Ovis aries: one gene and its partner. The protein of the gene in region 2 purifies or fractionates together with the protein of the main gene of each other region. This does not show direct contact. Links are inferred from orthologs where the notes say so. Each region holds a gene or a part of one and is shown on either strand. Other genes may lie near its edges.

The links. The genes of interacting proteins can lie anywhere in the genome.
Region 1: the proteins of ASXL2 (region 2) and OGT purify together in Homo sapiens (affinity purification with mass spectrometry; 3 studies listed by BioGRID and IntAct, with this or other methods). This does not show direct contact. The link is inferred for Ovis aries from reciprocal best matches to the Homo sapiens genes ASXL2 and OGT.

Annotation. Positions count from the first base shown.
Region 1 is NC_056080.1:64,222,810-64,230,076, forward strand, and holds part of OGT (UDP-N-acetylglucosamine--peptide N-acetylglucosaminyltransferase 110 kDa subunit), read left to right. Parts: intron 1-395; coding exon 396-496; intron 497-654; coding exon 655-808; intron 809-909; coding exon 910-1,011; intron 1,012-1,208; coding exon 1,209-1,388; intron 1,389-2,254; coding exon 2,255-2,413; intron 2,414-2,529; coding exon 2,530-2,619; intron 2,620-4,534; coding exon 4,535-4,660; intron 4,661-5,068; coding exon 5,069-5,239; intron 5,240-5,349; coding exon 5,350-5,466; intron 5,467-5,558; coding exon 5,559-5,729; intron 5,730-7,076; coding exon 7,077-7,229; intron 7,230-7,267. UniProt on the Homo sapiens protein: Catalyzes the transfer of a single N-acetylglucosamine from UDP-GlcNAc to a serine or threonine residue in cytoplasmic and nuclear proteins resulting in their modification with a beta-linked N-acetylglucosamine (O-GlcNAc).
Region 2 is NC_056056.1:33,088,769-33,096,035, forward strand, and holds part of ASXL2 (putative Polycomb group protein ASXL2), read right to left. Parts: intron 4,908-7,267; coding exon 4,196-4,907; intron 695-4,195; coding exon 1-694.

The sequences.
Region 1 (7,267 bases), on a different chromosome or scaffold from region 2:
TTGAGTTTGTTATTTTATGTGTAGATAAGATCTGCATAAAAATTTAAACAGTAAGCGACAGTTCAAGAGGAGTTATCAGTAAGTATATAATTTCAGTGCCTGATGGCTATAATGTTGGTTAGATGTGGTAGCAATTTCAAAGAGAGAGATGCTAGAGTTACCAGCATAAATTAAGATGAGGAGAGGTCTACCTCATTATGTTTTGAAACATGGAGAGGTATAAAATAAAGAGGTGGAATTTGAGCTCTTTGGCTTTGAAGAATGCATAGACTTGGAGAAGGTAGAGAGAAGTATAGGGATATAAAGGTGCTTGAGCCAAGTTCTTGTAAGTTATTACTGCTGTTTAAGCTAAAGTTATTTTTTTAAACCTCAGTTATCATTTTTAATCTTTATAGGTCTTCCCAGAGTTTGCTGCTGCCCATTCAAATTTAGCAAGTGTATTACAGCAGCAGGGAAAACTGCAGGAAGCTCTGATGCATTATAAGGAGGCGATTCGGTAAGAGACTCCCAGCCTTATTTTTTCTTTCAAGGTTTTAAATGCTTGGTGTTTGGCACATTTGATATATGGCACTTTTAGTAACAGCAGACTAAATTAATATTACAGGGTTAAAGGTTTTAGTACTAGAGAAATAAAATCTTTGTTCTGTCCTTTAGAATCAGTCCTACCTTTGCTGATGCTTACTCTAATATGGGAAACACCCTAAAGGAGATGCAGGATGTTCAGGGAGCCTTGCAGTGTTACACTCGTGCCATTCAGATTAACCCTGCATTTGCAGATGCCCACAGTAATCTGGCTTCCATTCACAAGGTACTATTTTTTAATATGTATTTTATTATATGTGCATCTTAGTAGATAATGTTTTTAATTTTAGGGAACATTTTAACCATCCCACTTTTATTTACTTCCAGGATTCAGGGAATATTCCAGAAGCAATTGCTTCTTATCGCACTGCTCTGAAGCTTAAACCTGATTTTCCTGACGCTTACTGTAATTTGGCTCATTGCCTGCAGGTAAAGAATAACGGGCCAGTAACTGGCTTTCAGGGTTGTAATCTCTCTTTAATTGTTATGTGCCATATTAATCCAAGCTTGGTTGGAGACAGTGTTCTCTAATGGGTTATCTGACATTACTTGAGGCCAAAGACACATAAAATGTTAAGTCGTGGAATACGATTTACTGGATAATATCTTCTTTTTGCCTTCTCTAGATTGTCTGTGACTGGACAGACTATGATGAGCGAATGAAGAAGTTGGTTAGCATTGTGGCTGACCAGTTAGAGAAGAATAGGTTGCCTTCTGTGCATCCTCATCATAGTATGCTATATCCTCTTTCTCATGGCTTCAGGAAAGCTATTGCTGAGAGGCATGGAAACCTCTGCTTGGATAAGGTGCAAGTCTTTTGTTTTAATCTTTTTGTTGTAAAGTAAGACACAGATACAAAGAACTGTGTGAATCAGATTTATGGCTTAGTGAGTTATCGTAAGGTGAACACCACCCAAGTTGAGAAATGAAGCTTTGTGAGTGAGCCCAGAAGCTCCTTCCATTGTGTCCTGTCTTTTATTTTTATATTTAGCTGTACCAGGTCTTAGTTGTGGCATACAGGATCTTCAGTCTTCATTGTGGCATATGCAATCTTTAGTTGCAGTACACAGGATCTAGTTGCCTGACCAAGGATCAAACCCAGGCCTTTGCATTGAGAGCGTGGAGTCTTAGGCACTGGACCACCAAGGAAGTCCCTGTCCTATCTTGATCATAATCCCTTCCATTCTATAAGGCAGAATCCTAACTGAAATACTACCAGTAGGCTGATGTTGTTTTCCTTTAGTTTTAAAATCATAGTTTTTAATAATATAGTTTATACTCATTTTTGAAAATCAGAGCACTACTTGATAAAAGGTGGGAATTTACTTAGCAGAATTGAGTGGAGTGCTAGGTCTAATTCTGTTTTTTGAAAATGTTCCCCTACAGAATTTTCTTCTTAAATGTAGGGTTTGTCATACTCTGTCCACTTTGCTTCCTTCCTATAACTTTTAGACTTGCTTGGGCTATTTCACTGGCCTCAGAAACAGGTCACAGTATGAACCATGTTATATAAGTTGATAAGGTTGCATTGAACTGGCTATATGAATTAAAGAAGTATTCTGGGCACAAAACCATTCCCAATAGGTGTGAGTTGTGTTTTTAGTCAGTTTTCCTAGGTGAAAGTTTACATATAGATTCAATTTTACTAACAAGCCTTGAATTCCATTGTTAGATTAATGTACTTCATAAACCACCATATGAGCATCCAAAAGACTTGAAGCTCAGTGATGGTCGACTGCGTGTAGGATACGTGAGTTCTGACTTTGGGAATCATCCTACTTCTCATCTTATGCAGTCTATTCCAGGCATGCACAATCCTGATAAATTTGAGGTAAGACTAGTGTTTCCCTAGGGCCACTATTGTCGCCATTAGGTGTTAGGCCCAGTGTCTTTTTAGGAAAGATCTGAGCCAAGGTTATTACATACATATTATGTGCTGCCTTTCAGGTATTCTGTTATGCCTTGAGCCCAGATGACGGCACAAACTTCCGAGTGAAGGTGATGGCAGAAGCCAATCATTTCATTGATCTTTCTCAGGTAGGTGTAACTCTTATACTTTAGCTTTTTAATTTGAGCAAATAGTGAATAAAACTGTTGACGTCTAGCTTGTATTTTTCCTGACAAATATTTAACATCAGCTCTTTCATGCCTTTCCTGGAGAAAGGAATAGCAACCCACTCCAGTATTCTTGCCTGGAGAATACCATGGACAGAGGAGCCTGGTGGGTTTGCCCATGGGGTCGCAAAGAGTCAGAAACGACTGAGCAACTAACACACACACGCACGCATGCACGCACATGCATACTACATGCCTGTGGGCAGTTGCTTTGATCTTATTTCCTTGATTGTTTACATTTATTACATTACATTTATAATCATCATGGATTTTGCTGAGGTTGCAATTAAATAGAAATATGATATATCTCTGCTTGGACATAGAACTTCTCTGGGGATTGAGCTAGCACTTGTGACAGTAGATATCTAATATTACCTGAATAAGTTGAGCAAGATGGTGGCTTGGAAGAACAAACAGGTCATTTAAAGGGCCTTTGCCTTTAAATCTTTATTTCTATACTTGGCTCCATTGCTATTTTCTCTAGGAGCTAAAGTTTTATGATAAATTAAGATTGAAACCTGTGAGGGAATGTTGCTGAAGGTATGGACTAGAGTTTTTTCTTACAGGCCCTTCTGGCCACTTTGGTGATTAACAGAGGTATGTATGGTATGTCTAGTAATTCATATAGATGAATCATTGAAGTCCTAGTAGAACTGCAAGACTCTTGTCATTTCATAAATAATTTGTACCCAACATCTTTTGCATTATAGCTATTACTTTGGAAGTACACCTTACCATTTTTGGTGTAGGGTTGGACTCTTCTGCGACCAAGCAGCATACGACCCTCCATCTCTTGAGACCTTTCAGGATTCACTGCTTATTGACTGAAGTATAAACTCTTTAAAATATATATATATCTTTTATACATATATATTAATTGAAGCATAGTTGACATACAATATTAGTTTCAGGTGTGTGTGCACTCGCTAAGTTGCTTTAGTTGTGTCTGACTCTTTGAACCCTATGGACTGTAGCCCCCGAGGCTCCTCTGTCCATGGGATTCTCCAGGCAAGAATACTGGAGTGGGTTGCCATTCCCTTCTCCAGGGGATCTTGGCAACCCAGAGATCAAACCTGTGTCTCTTGCATCTCCTGCATTGGCAGGCGGGTTCTTTACCACTAGCGCCACCTGGGAAAATTTCAGGTGTACTACATAGTTAATTGATACTTGCACATATTATGAAATCACCATGAAAAGTCTGGTAATCATCTGTTTCCTTACAAAGTTACTCCAGTATTATGACCATATTCCTCATGTCATAAGTTATATCCCTGTGGCTTGTTTTATACCTGGAGGGTTTTTTTTAAGTAATCTTCATATATGTAAACTTCATATAGGAAGTCCAGACTCTTCAGAATGGCCTTCACAACCTTTATGAGTTTGACTGCAACCTTGTTTGCCACTGCTTTTCACCCACCATCAGCCTTCAGTTATACCCCATAGCAAACAGAAGTGATCTACCCATTTTTTTCAACCTACTGTGCACTTTACTCTGGTTCCTTATTCATACAGTTCTCTGTGAGATTATAATTCTTCCAACTCCCTCAAACTCTTATGCATCTTTGGACACCCATTTCAAATACCATCTCTGCTATGAAGCCTAGTTGTTCATACATTCAATGTAGAATTAAACTCTCCTTCCTCTGTATCCTGTTTCTGTGATACTGTGGGCCCATTTTAATGGCACTTAACCATATTTTTACTCTGCATTAATGTTTTCTTAATTTGTGTTCTTGTATTTTTGCATCTGGGAATTTGAATTCTGTTTAATATCATTAAGGCTAATTGAATCAGTCTGAGATTGTACATAATAAATTTTTATTTTTTTATTCTGTAGATTCCATGCAATGGAAAAGCAGCTGATCGCATCCATCAAGATGGTATACACATCCTTGTAAATATGAATGGTTATACCAAGGGTGCTCGAAATGAACTCTTTGCTCTCAGGCCAGCTCCTATTCAGGTAAAGGAAATAATGATAATAATAATAACATTCACTATGTTTATTGGGCTAAAAAGACAATGATATGTTTTTCCCCCCTCTGATTAACTGTCCTTTGACACAATAGGATAGACGTGCCTAACTTATGAAAAAAGTGTAGTTCTTGAAAATGCATAGGGACAAAGAATTATAGGTAAGGACACAATGCCCACAGGTACGTGTTTATGGAGACATGCAGTTTGTAGTTGATGTAAACAGTTGTTCTGTGTTATAAATTGGAAAAACAGTTTAGCACTTGGAAGTTTAGTTTGAAATATTACTTGATTGCTCTTGGCTAAAGAAGTCCACCCTCGTTTGTTGACTTATTTAATTTTAGACCCTTTTGATGAAGGTTCTTAGTTTTCCATCTGATTTTTTTTTTTCTTCTAGGCAATGTGGCTGGGGTATCCTGGGACTAGTGGCGCACTTTTCATGGATTATATCATCACTGATCAGGAAACTTCACCTGCTGAAGTTGCTGAGCAATATTCTGAGAAGCTGGCTTATATGCCTCATACTTTCTTTATTGGTGATCATGCTAATATGTTCCCTCACCTGAAGGTAGGTAGAAAAACAATACTGTAGGGGAATTGCAAAGAACTGTAGTCATTTATTTTTTACTACTGTTCCTGTGCATCCTAACAGATATGTCTGAAACTTTTTTTTATTAGAAAAAAGCAGTTATCGATTTTAAATCCAATGGGCACATTTATGACAATCGGATTGTGCTGAATGGCATCGACCTCAAAGCATTTCTTGATAGTCTACCAGATGTGAAAATTGTCAAGGTCAGAACCTGGTCAATATTGTAATTGAAATAAAGTTATCTGCATTTGGGATCTTTTCCCTAATGATGTATTTTGTGTGTAATTATTTTAAGATGAAATGTCCTGATGGAGGAGACAATGCGGACAGCAGTAATACAGCTCTTAATATGCCTGTCATTCCTATGAATACTATTGCAGAAGCAGTAATTGAAATGATTAACAGAGGACAAATTCAGATAACAATTAATGGATTCAGTATTAGCAATGGACTGGCAACTACCCAGGTAAGAAGAGAATAATAGAATGTACTGTGTACCACCAAGTATACATTTACCTTTTTCAGATCTCATAACTCTAGGAGGTAAGCATCATTACTCCTGTTTTATAGATGAGGAAATGAATTTGGGGAAAACTGGCATCTTATATAGGTTTGTTTGATTTTAAAAGTCACTTGTATTCAGCCATCAGATTACTTAATGAGAGTCTTCTGTGTTAATACCTTGTTATTCCCTGCCTCTGTGGCTTTACTGTTACCAATGGTGAAATATCTGTAGACATCGTACAGTTTCTTGCTTCTATATAATTCATCCTTTCCCCAGTTAAATCTTACTCATCTCTTAAGACTGTCAGTTCAGACAGCTCCTCCGACAATCTGTTTCTGTCCATATCTGTAACCTCTCCTTCCCTGCTCCATTGGTACCTGTATTCTCTGCTTCTGAAATATTTGGCATGTATCTTTACATCCAGCACAACACATTCTAAGTCCTGGGTTTGAATGTATTTGCCACTGAATTGAATTACTTTAGAGCCTGTATCTTAGCCTCTGTAATGTAGTATGTGCTCAGTAAATATATATTGCTTGTGTACTTGAATAAGTGAATGTGTAGCTCTGTCAAGAGATATAAGGCAAGCATCTTTGGCCTCTTAGGAGTTAAAAGTTTTAGTGGTATAGCAATTTATACAGAGGGTGCTTGAAGTGAATTCAGGTGAGTTGAAAAGACTGATGTGTTTTTCCCCCCCTTCTGGTTAACCGTCCTTTGAAACAATAGGGCAGACATGCTTGACTTAAGGGAAAAAAAGTGTAATACTTGAAGTGTACAAGGGCAAAGAATTTTGAATGTAGAACACAATGCCCATTTGTATGAGACGTCCATCACACCTGGAATAGTTACATAACAATGTAAGGTAGTCCCCAGATGTGTGGGAATTGCAAGATAAGACTATAATTATGTATGTAGATGCTCAGAAATAGTGGTGAGGCGAGGAGCTTTTACAGAGATTGTTTGGTAACTGAAGTTTAGTCCTGAAAGGTGGATGTGATTTAGAAAAGGACATTTCATTCATGAAGAAAAAGAGTGAGAAGAAGCTTGCTATTGGACTTATACGATTTTGAAGAGAACTTTTTGGCTAGAGTGAGATGTTTCATAGTGCAGTCCACCCCAAATTAAGATAGTGCCCTAACTTTTTTCCTTTAACTTAATGCGTCACAAGTATTTTCCCATTGTAGTTTAGTTATATGACTTTTAATGGTTATACCACTTTGCATCATAAGGATTCTTTATTGATTGAAAAATATTGGAGTATGTTGACTTTAAGTATAATCGTCATTCATATTCTTTTTCTTGCTGTAGATCAACAATAAGGCTGCCACTGGAGAAGAGGTTCCTCGTACCATTATTGTAACCACACGGTCTCAGTATGGGCTACCAGAAGATGCCATTGTGTACTGTAACTTTAATCAGTTATATAAAATTGACCCTTCTACTTTGCAGATGTGGGCAAATGTGAGTATGTGTAGATTCATTATTAATGTCTAGAGATT
Region 2 (7,267 bases):
AGGCACCCGTGATCAGAGCAGGATCTGCTGGAGCTGGAGGTGCTTTCTCCTGCCTACTGTTACTGGGCGCTTGGGGCTGACTAAGAGAGGCCACCGTGCCTGTTGCCCTGGGGGGATTTAGTTTTTCATTACTTAATTTTCCTAAAGCTGGCGGGAGTGCATGAATGTGGGCTGGTGAGGGGACACCGGCACATGCTCCACCGACGGCAGATGTGGGAGGCACTGAGGGGGTTTGCTGTAGTTGTGCTCCAGGGCCACTATGAGGCTGTGGCTGGCCTGCGGTCCTGGTCTCAGACTGGGGCTGAGTGTCTGGCCCAGCGGGTAAAAGCTCTCTCGGACCTCCCCTGCTTCCAGTTCCTGCCAGTTCCAGTGCGGGGCCCTTGCCAGGCTCACTGACTCTGTCTGAGTCAGGATCCCCTCCTCTAGCAGTTCTCCTTTCACCCCCCTCCCCTGGACCCTGTCCACCGCCTGGGCCAGGTCCTGGAATGGTCCCTCCAACTGAGGCGGCAGCAGCGGCTGCAGCTGCGGCGGCGGCAGCTGCCCTCTGTGCTTTGACAAGCTGGGCTTTTGCTTTGATGTCTGCAAGGGTTCTGGCTCCTGTTCTGTTAGGACTAGTGATGGAGATTGGAAAACGAGCCCTGGGAGAGACCTGCGATGTAGGAAACGGCATGGGAGAGATTCTGGAGACCGGGATCTGAAAGAATTAAGGGGAAAAAAAACAACAGAGCTTAGCTTTCTTTTATAAGAGTAACAAAACTTCATTAACACAAATTCTCAGAATAGGGTGAATGCTATCACAAGGACGGGAGGCCTGTGGCTAAGAGACCAATCCATGGAGACAGCCACACAGGTCCGTCTCTAGGGTCTTTTCACCTCCTCTACTGGTGCCAAAGACTCTCCTCCGTTGACAATCACTCCCACTCAGTCACAAAACTCTTTTCTCAACACAATTCTGTCTTAATGTCACTACTACTCAGAACAGCTGATCATTTAACATACAGACCTGTCTATGATATCTATATTTTAAAATGTGCGTAATAGCAAGAAAAGAGAAATAGAAAAAATAAAGTAGCACACTATTGTTGCTGTTTAGTCACGAAGTCATGTCCACCTCTTTGCGACCCCATGGACTGTAGCCCACCAGGCTCCTCTGTCCATGGGATTTCCCAGGCAAGAATACTGGAGTAGGTCGCCATTTTCTTCTCCAGGGGGGTCTTCCCAATCCCAGGATCAAACCTGTGTCCCCTGCATTGACAGGAGGATTCTTTACCACTGAGCCACCTGGGAAGCCTGTCTTTTATTTCTTGGCTTTACTACGAGGTCCAGGGAAAATTTCTTGTTCCCTTTTACACACTCACACATGTACAGCTAAGCATATAGGCTGAATTATCTCAAAGTACAGAGGCCTCTGGATAGCACCAGAAGAAAGACAATGTGTAACCCACCCCACCCACCCAAGAGGGAATACGTACATACTGGCTACACTATGAACCAAAGTCATTCTCATCGCCTGCTGGTATTATATTTATTCGTGGAGCTTTAAAAAAATATATGTGCTCTAAGTCCTATCCCTAAAATTGAAAATTAGAACTCCTAGAGGAAAAATGCATTTCTAAAAACCTTGTGAGGAGATTCTGAATGCATCATTAGGTCTGAAACCACTGATTTTCATATCATAAAATATATTTGAAAAGACTCTGACTTCTGTTCAAAACAATACTTTGAAATCTATTGGAATGCATCAGGATGCACCAATCTTAAACCTTCTAATAGTTGGTAAAGTTAAAAACAGAAAATAATGGTTACAGATGTTCTAGGACATTTAACTAAAAAAACTAAGCCACTGAGCCCAAAGATAATGCATCTTTCCGGAACTCCTTAATTGAGAATAATAAAGTCACTAAGGATTCTGCATTATTGGCAATACTCATTTCTGAAAAGGTCAGCAGTCCTGAAAAACTCTCTCTCTTTCAGAAGTTAGACCTATGGGATTTGTGTAACACTTGTCATAAAGCCCACATATTTCTCATCTTGAGATATACTGAACCTCTGTCTCAAAGTTGAATCTGTTTTACATCCAACTGCACACAGTATTTCAGAAGCTGCCCAGAGTAAAGTCGTTATTACCCTTTAGTAATACCATCTGGAACAGACAATTAATAGGGAGAAAAAACAGATGAAACTAGAAAATTAAAAACAAGAAGTAAAAAGCACAGTTGTTTAGAGGAATCATATATAGGATTAGGAACAAACCATCTTACATCAGAATAACCTTGAGAATAACAAGATACTCAGCACAATAAATGATATCTATCATAATGACTGAAAATCATCAATAACATGTTGATGAAATAAGGATAATCCTTCAAAGTGGTTTAAATAAAAATTTTTAATGCTTAAAAATAATTTGTTATTTATGTAACTAGTCCTATTATCTGTCTATGTAGAATAAATGAGATGTAATACTTTTTTTTTTAAATTATGAAAACCACACAAGGTTTCTAGGCGTTGATAACAACTGCAACAACTTAACTTACTGAGAAGCCCTCTCTCCTTGTATAGAAAAGGAATTAGATTCTTTCTGTTGTAACTGTAATATACAACGTATGTCTGAGTTTTCTATCTGTCTGTAGCTGTATATATATGTGTATATTTTATATTATATATATATGTAGGATAGATACATGTGCATACGTAATTTTATACAATAAGAGATTGATATTAAAATTCAAATTTTGTTTTTCTACTTAAGTTTTGTTTAAAAGATTTGTTCTAAATTACATTAAGCTTCGTCTCAGAAAGAGGGATTTGGATAAGGTCTAAGGTAAGAGAATTATAATACTAAAGTCACTTCTGCTAGAAAGCTTTGAAATGAGGCAGGAGTGAAAAAAAAAAAGGAAGAAAGTTAAGTAACATAAATTTGGTCACAAAAGATTTAAGTTTTCAGTGCAGAGCCTCTTTGGATTAGCAGAAAGATGTGGAAACAGAAATGATGGTTCTTACCCAGTGTCATTTATATAAAGTAAAACCTAAACTGTAACCCAGCTCTCAGGTCTAGAGATAAGATAAGCTTCAAAGAAAGGTTTCTCATATTTTTAAAGAAGAAGAATGAGTGATTATTATAAAATGAAAATCTCCAGCAAAGCATGAGAGTGTATCCTAATGGTAGAAAAATATCAAAAAAAGGAAAAGGAAAAAGGAGAGTCTTGAGTGCTGAAACCACAGAATTTAAAATTAAGAACAGCATAGTATTAGCAAAAAGAAGCAAAGAGGAGCAGAGTCTCATAGCGCATGAAACAGGTCAAGTACTTCTAACGGAGTATTTCAAGGGTTATTTCCAGTAGGACTTCGGTTCATCTAAGTTAAATTTAAAAAGGAAAAAACGTGTTTCTATTTGGCTTATTTTTTAACTTATATTCCAATGTGAATGAATACCCAGTGCCGGAGTTCATGCAGACACAATAATACTAATAAATACTATTAATAAAAAACATTAAGTCACTAGATATGATTAATGAAATGAAGAATGAACTGAAAACTGATGTTAGGCACAAGACCAAGTACACACGAAGGTAGTGACACTGCTATAGAAATTTAAAAGATCTTGATACACAGCAATATATGGCTAAAACACAAGTTAATCACATATCCAAAGCAGCAGAGCTTAGGCTATACCATCTTACTAAAATCCCTCAAGAGAGGGAGATTCATGGCGGCCACACACATTTCCTATAAAAGGACAGAACTAAAAGGGAGTTCAGACCTTCAAAACATCTCATCAGTTATGGCAGCAAGAAAAGGGTCAAGGCACATTCAAACATCATGGCTCTTGATACAAAGATACATGACCTCTTACATCAATGACCTCCTCCTGTTTGCTATTATACTTAACAGAATACATTCCATAATTGTCTTAAAATACAAGAGTAGCCAGCAGGGAGGGTGGGTGGAAGTGGATTACATTAGATTCTCAGATATTTGAATAAATATTCAAATCCCAATAAAGACCTGTAAAGCCGCACTTCTAAATGCCTGTTTCTTAATAATTTTACTCATGTATATGACCATGGTTACACACATATCAAATACATACCACTGCTTCCACATTAAGAAACATCACAAACACTTGAAATTTAGTAGGCAAAACCAAAAACTTGTTCAGACCATCTCTCTTCTTCAATTCTTCCTTTCTTACCTTGAGGGGTGGTACTCTCCGCACCTGGAACCTGTCCCCTCTACTGAGAAAGGGCTGTGGGGAGACCTGAAATGGCTGCTGGTGCTGGCGATGCTCAGTGACACGCGGCCTTTTCTCCCAGCTTGTCGGGGCCTCTTCTTGGGTGAGAGAAGATTTCCTCTTGAGGCTTTCTGGGCTGTGATCAGCCAGAGTTGATGGAGGCTCTTTCATAGTTGTCTCCTGTGGACCTGCTTCTACTGTGGGCTTCATTACTGTTGTTTCTACCCCAGGACTCTTGGGTTTGCTCAGGGAAGTAACTAAAGCTTCCTGGCTTTCATTTTTATTATAATTTGAAGGTGTAGTGAGATGATTCTCTTTCTCAGATTCCTGTTCAGCAGAGGCAACTGGCTTTTGCTCCACAAGAGCCTCATCCTTCGGGCACTTGATGGGAGGAATGCTGCTAAGCTCATTTGTATTGGTAGCCGGGGAAAGAAGGGGCTCTGTGGAGTGTGGCTGCATCTTATCTTGGCTTTCATGCTCTTCTTTTCTGACTGGTGATGGCATCTGCAGTACTTCTTCTTTAGATTCTAGCTGGGGAATTACTGGGACTACACTGACAGGTGAGGCCTCTGAAGGAAGCGTAGATTTTGGTTGCTCAGCTGGGGTTTTCTTTACTTTGGGATCATTGGGTGAAGCTGTCAATTTCTTTGAATCTTCAAGACTCAGGCCAGAACTAAAGGGTGGAAGAAAAAAATACTGTAGTTGAGAAATCGCCTATGTTACTGAATATATTATGAGATAATGTATATGGCAATATCTGGAATAATCTGTGGTACTTAGCCAGTAGTCTTTATATATTATCATCACTATTATTAATATTAGTGAAAGGTCTGGAACTAGAGCACCTAGATTCAAATCCTGGCTCTGATACCTACTATCCATGTGATATTAAGTAAGTGAGTAGCCTCTCTGTCTCAGTTTCTTTAACAGTGTTGTTGTTTAGTCACTAAGTCATGTTCGACTCTTGGCAAACCCATGGACTGCAGCATGTCAGGCTTCCCTGTCCTTCACTATCTCCCAGAGTTTGCTCAAATTCATGTTCATTGAATTGGTCATGCTATCCAACCACCTCATTTCTTTAATAGTACACTGAGGCTAATCACTTCACAGTGTTGCTAGGATGAGCAACTAATGCATGTAAAGTACTTAGAACAGTGTACCTAGGACATAATAAAACCTCACTGTAATGTTAATTATTATTATTACTTCTGCTTACAAAGGAGCTACACTGTCTACAGGCATACACCACAGACTTCCCACAGAGAAGTGAAAGAAGCCAAAGACCCATGTCCCATAGGATTGTGGGTTTGGACTGCAATCAGCTTGGACAGCAAGGAGATCAAACAAGTCCATCCTAAAGGAAATCAGTCCTGAATATTCATTGGAAGGACTGATGCTGAAGCTGAAGCTCCAATACTATGGCCACCTAATGTGAAGAACTGACTCACTGGTAAAGCCCCTGATGCTGGGAAAGACTGAAGGCAGGAGGAGAAGGGGACAACAGAGGATGAGATGGTTGGATGGCATCACTGACGCAATGGACATGAGTTTGAATAAGCTCCGGGAGTTGGGAATAAGCATGGTGTGCTGCAGTCCATGGGACTGTAAAGAGTCAGACACGACTGAGTGACTGAACTGAACAGCTTTGTTCTGAAGTACCCGTAGAAAGGCTGGCCCAAGAAATCTAAGGAAACCGGAGGAGACAGTAGGAGAGATGACTAATCTCCAGAGGTTGAAAATGAAAACTGAATCTTTGGAAAGTCTGTTTAAATTTTACTTGGTATAGCTCTAAAATTCTGAGATTAAGTGCCTCCGAGTTATCCTGGGAATGAAGGCCAAGTAGGACTTCCTGGCTAATAGCTAGACTACCCTGGAGGGTTCACTACAGATTTCCCCTAATGTCTCAGAATAATGTACAAGTAAAAATAAGATAGTCCTCTTTGGTGACTTCAAATAATCAGTCCTGTACCCCCGAGATGGAACGGCTAAGGACAAATTTGTACAATAATCAAATGTAGTCCTTCCCAAAAAGCTGGCAGAAAGTAACAGCTAAAAACAGAAAGACCCAAGAATGGCTGTAACGCTTGGAATGAATAATATTTACAGAATTAACTGCCACCTGTGATCATGGTCTAAATGTATTCACTTTGATTTCTGTAGAACAGCTCAAAGCTCACACCAAGAAGGTAAAAAAATCAGTGTACTGGGCTCTTCATTTCATTAAGAATCACTTCTGAAATGACCACAAAGGGGATAAGGACAGGAAGATAAGGAAAAGAGCTGTTTGTTCTCAAGCTATGATTATGCAGTCCATTAGGTATACATAAGGAAGGAAGAGAAACTAACAGACAATTAAGACTCTGGGTATTCAATTCTATTTCAAACAACACAGCCCCATTGTCATCTATTAAGTGGCCCCATTAAGTTTTTTTTTTTTTTTCTGGGCGGTTGAGGGGGATGCTTCGAGGCTTGTGGGATCTTAGTTCCCCAACCAGGGCTTGAATCTGCGCCATCGCAGTAAAAGTGCTGAGTGCTAACCACTGGACTACTAGGGAATTCCTTCCATTAAGATTCTGTTAAGGAAAAAACAAACGCACTATAGTGCCTTGAGAAAAGGGTCTGTATCTTGATTCAGCTATGTGTATCTCCCAGAGTGTCTTTTAGAGAAGAGAGGCTGTTTAATTACATGTTGAATATTATGGCATGTATTATAGGATTCCTTAGTGATTCTGGATAAGTTATCCTTTTGTGGGATAACTGCCTACAGTAAAAAAAAAAAAAAAAAAGTATAGAACTTAAAAAGAAAGGACTCTAATTCAAGAAAATAAAATCTTTTTTATAAGAAACCATACCATCTATAATGGCAATGTGTTAAGAGTTCAAGATTATGAGAAATCCAATTCTGTGTACCTAAGAATTATAAAAAGAAAATAATTTTCTTGGTAAAAAAAATAGAAGAAAATTGCAGACTAGATTTCCTGGGAAAGTAGTTAGATGAAGTAACACATGACATATGTATAGGAATTAACATTT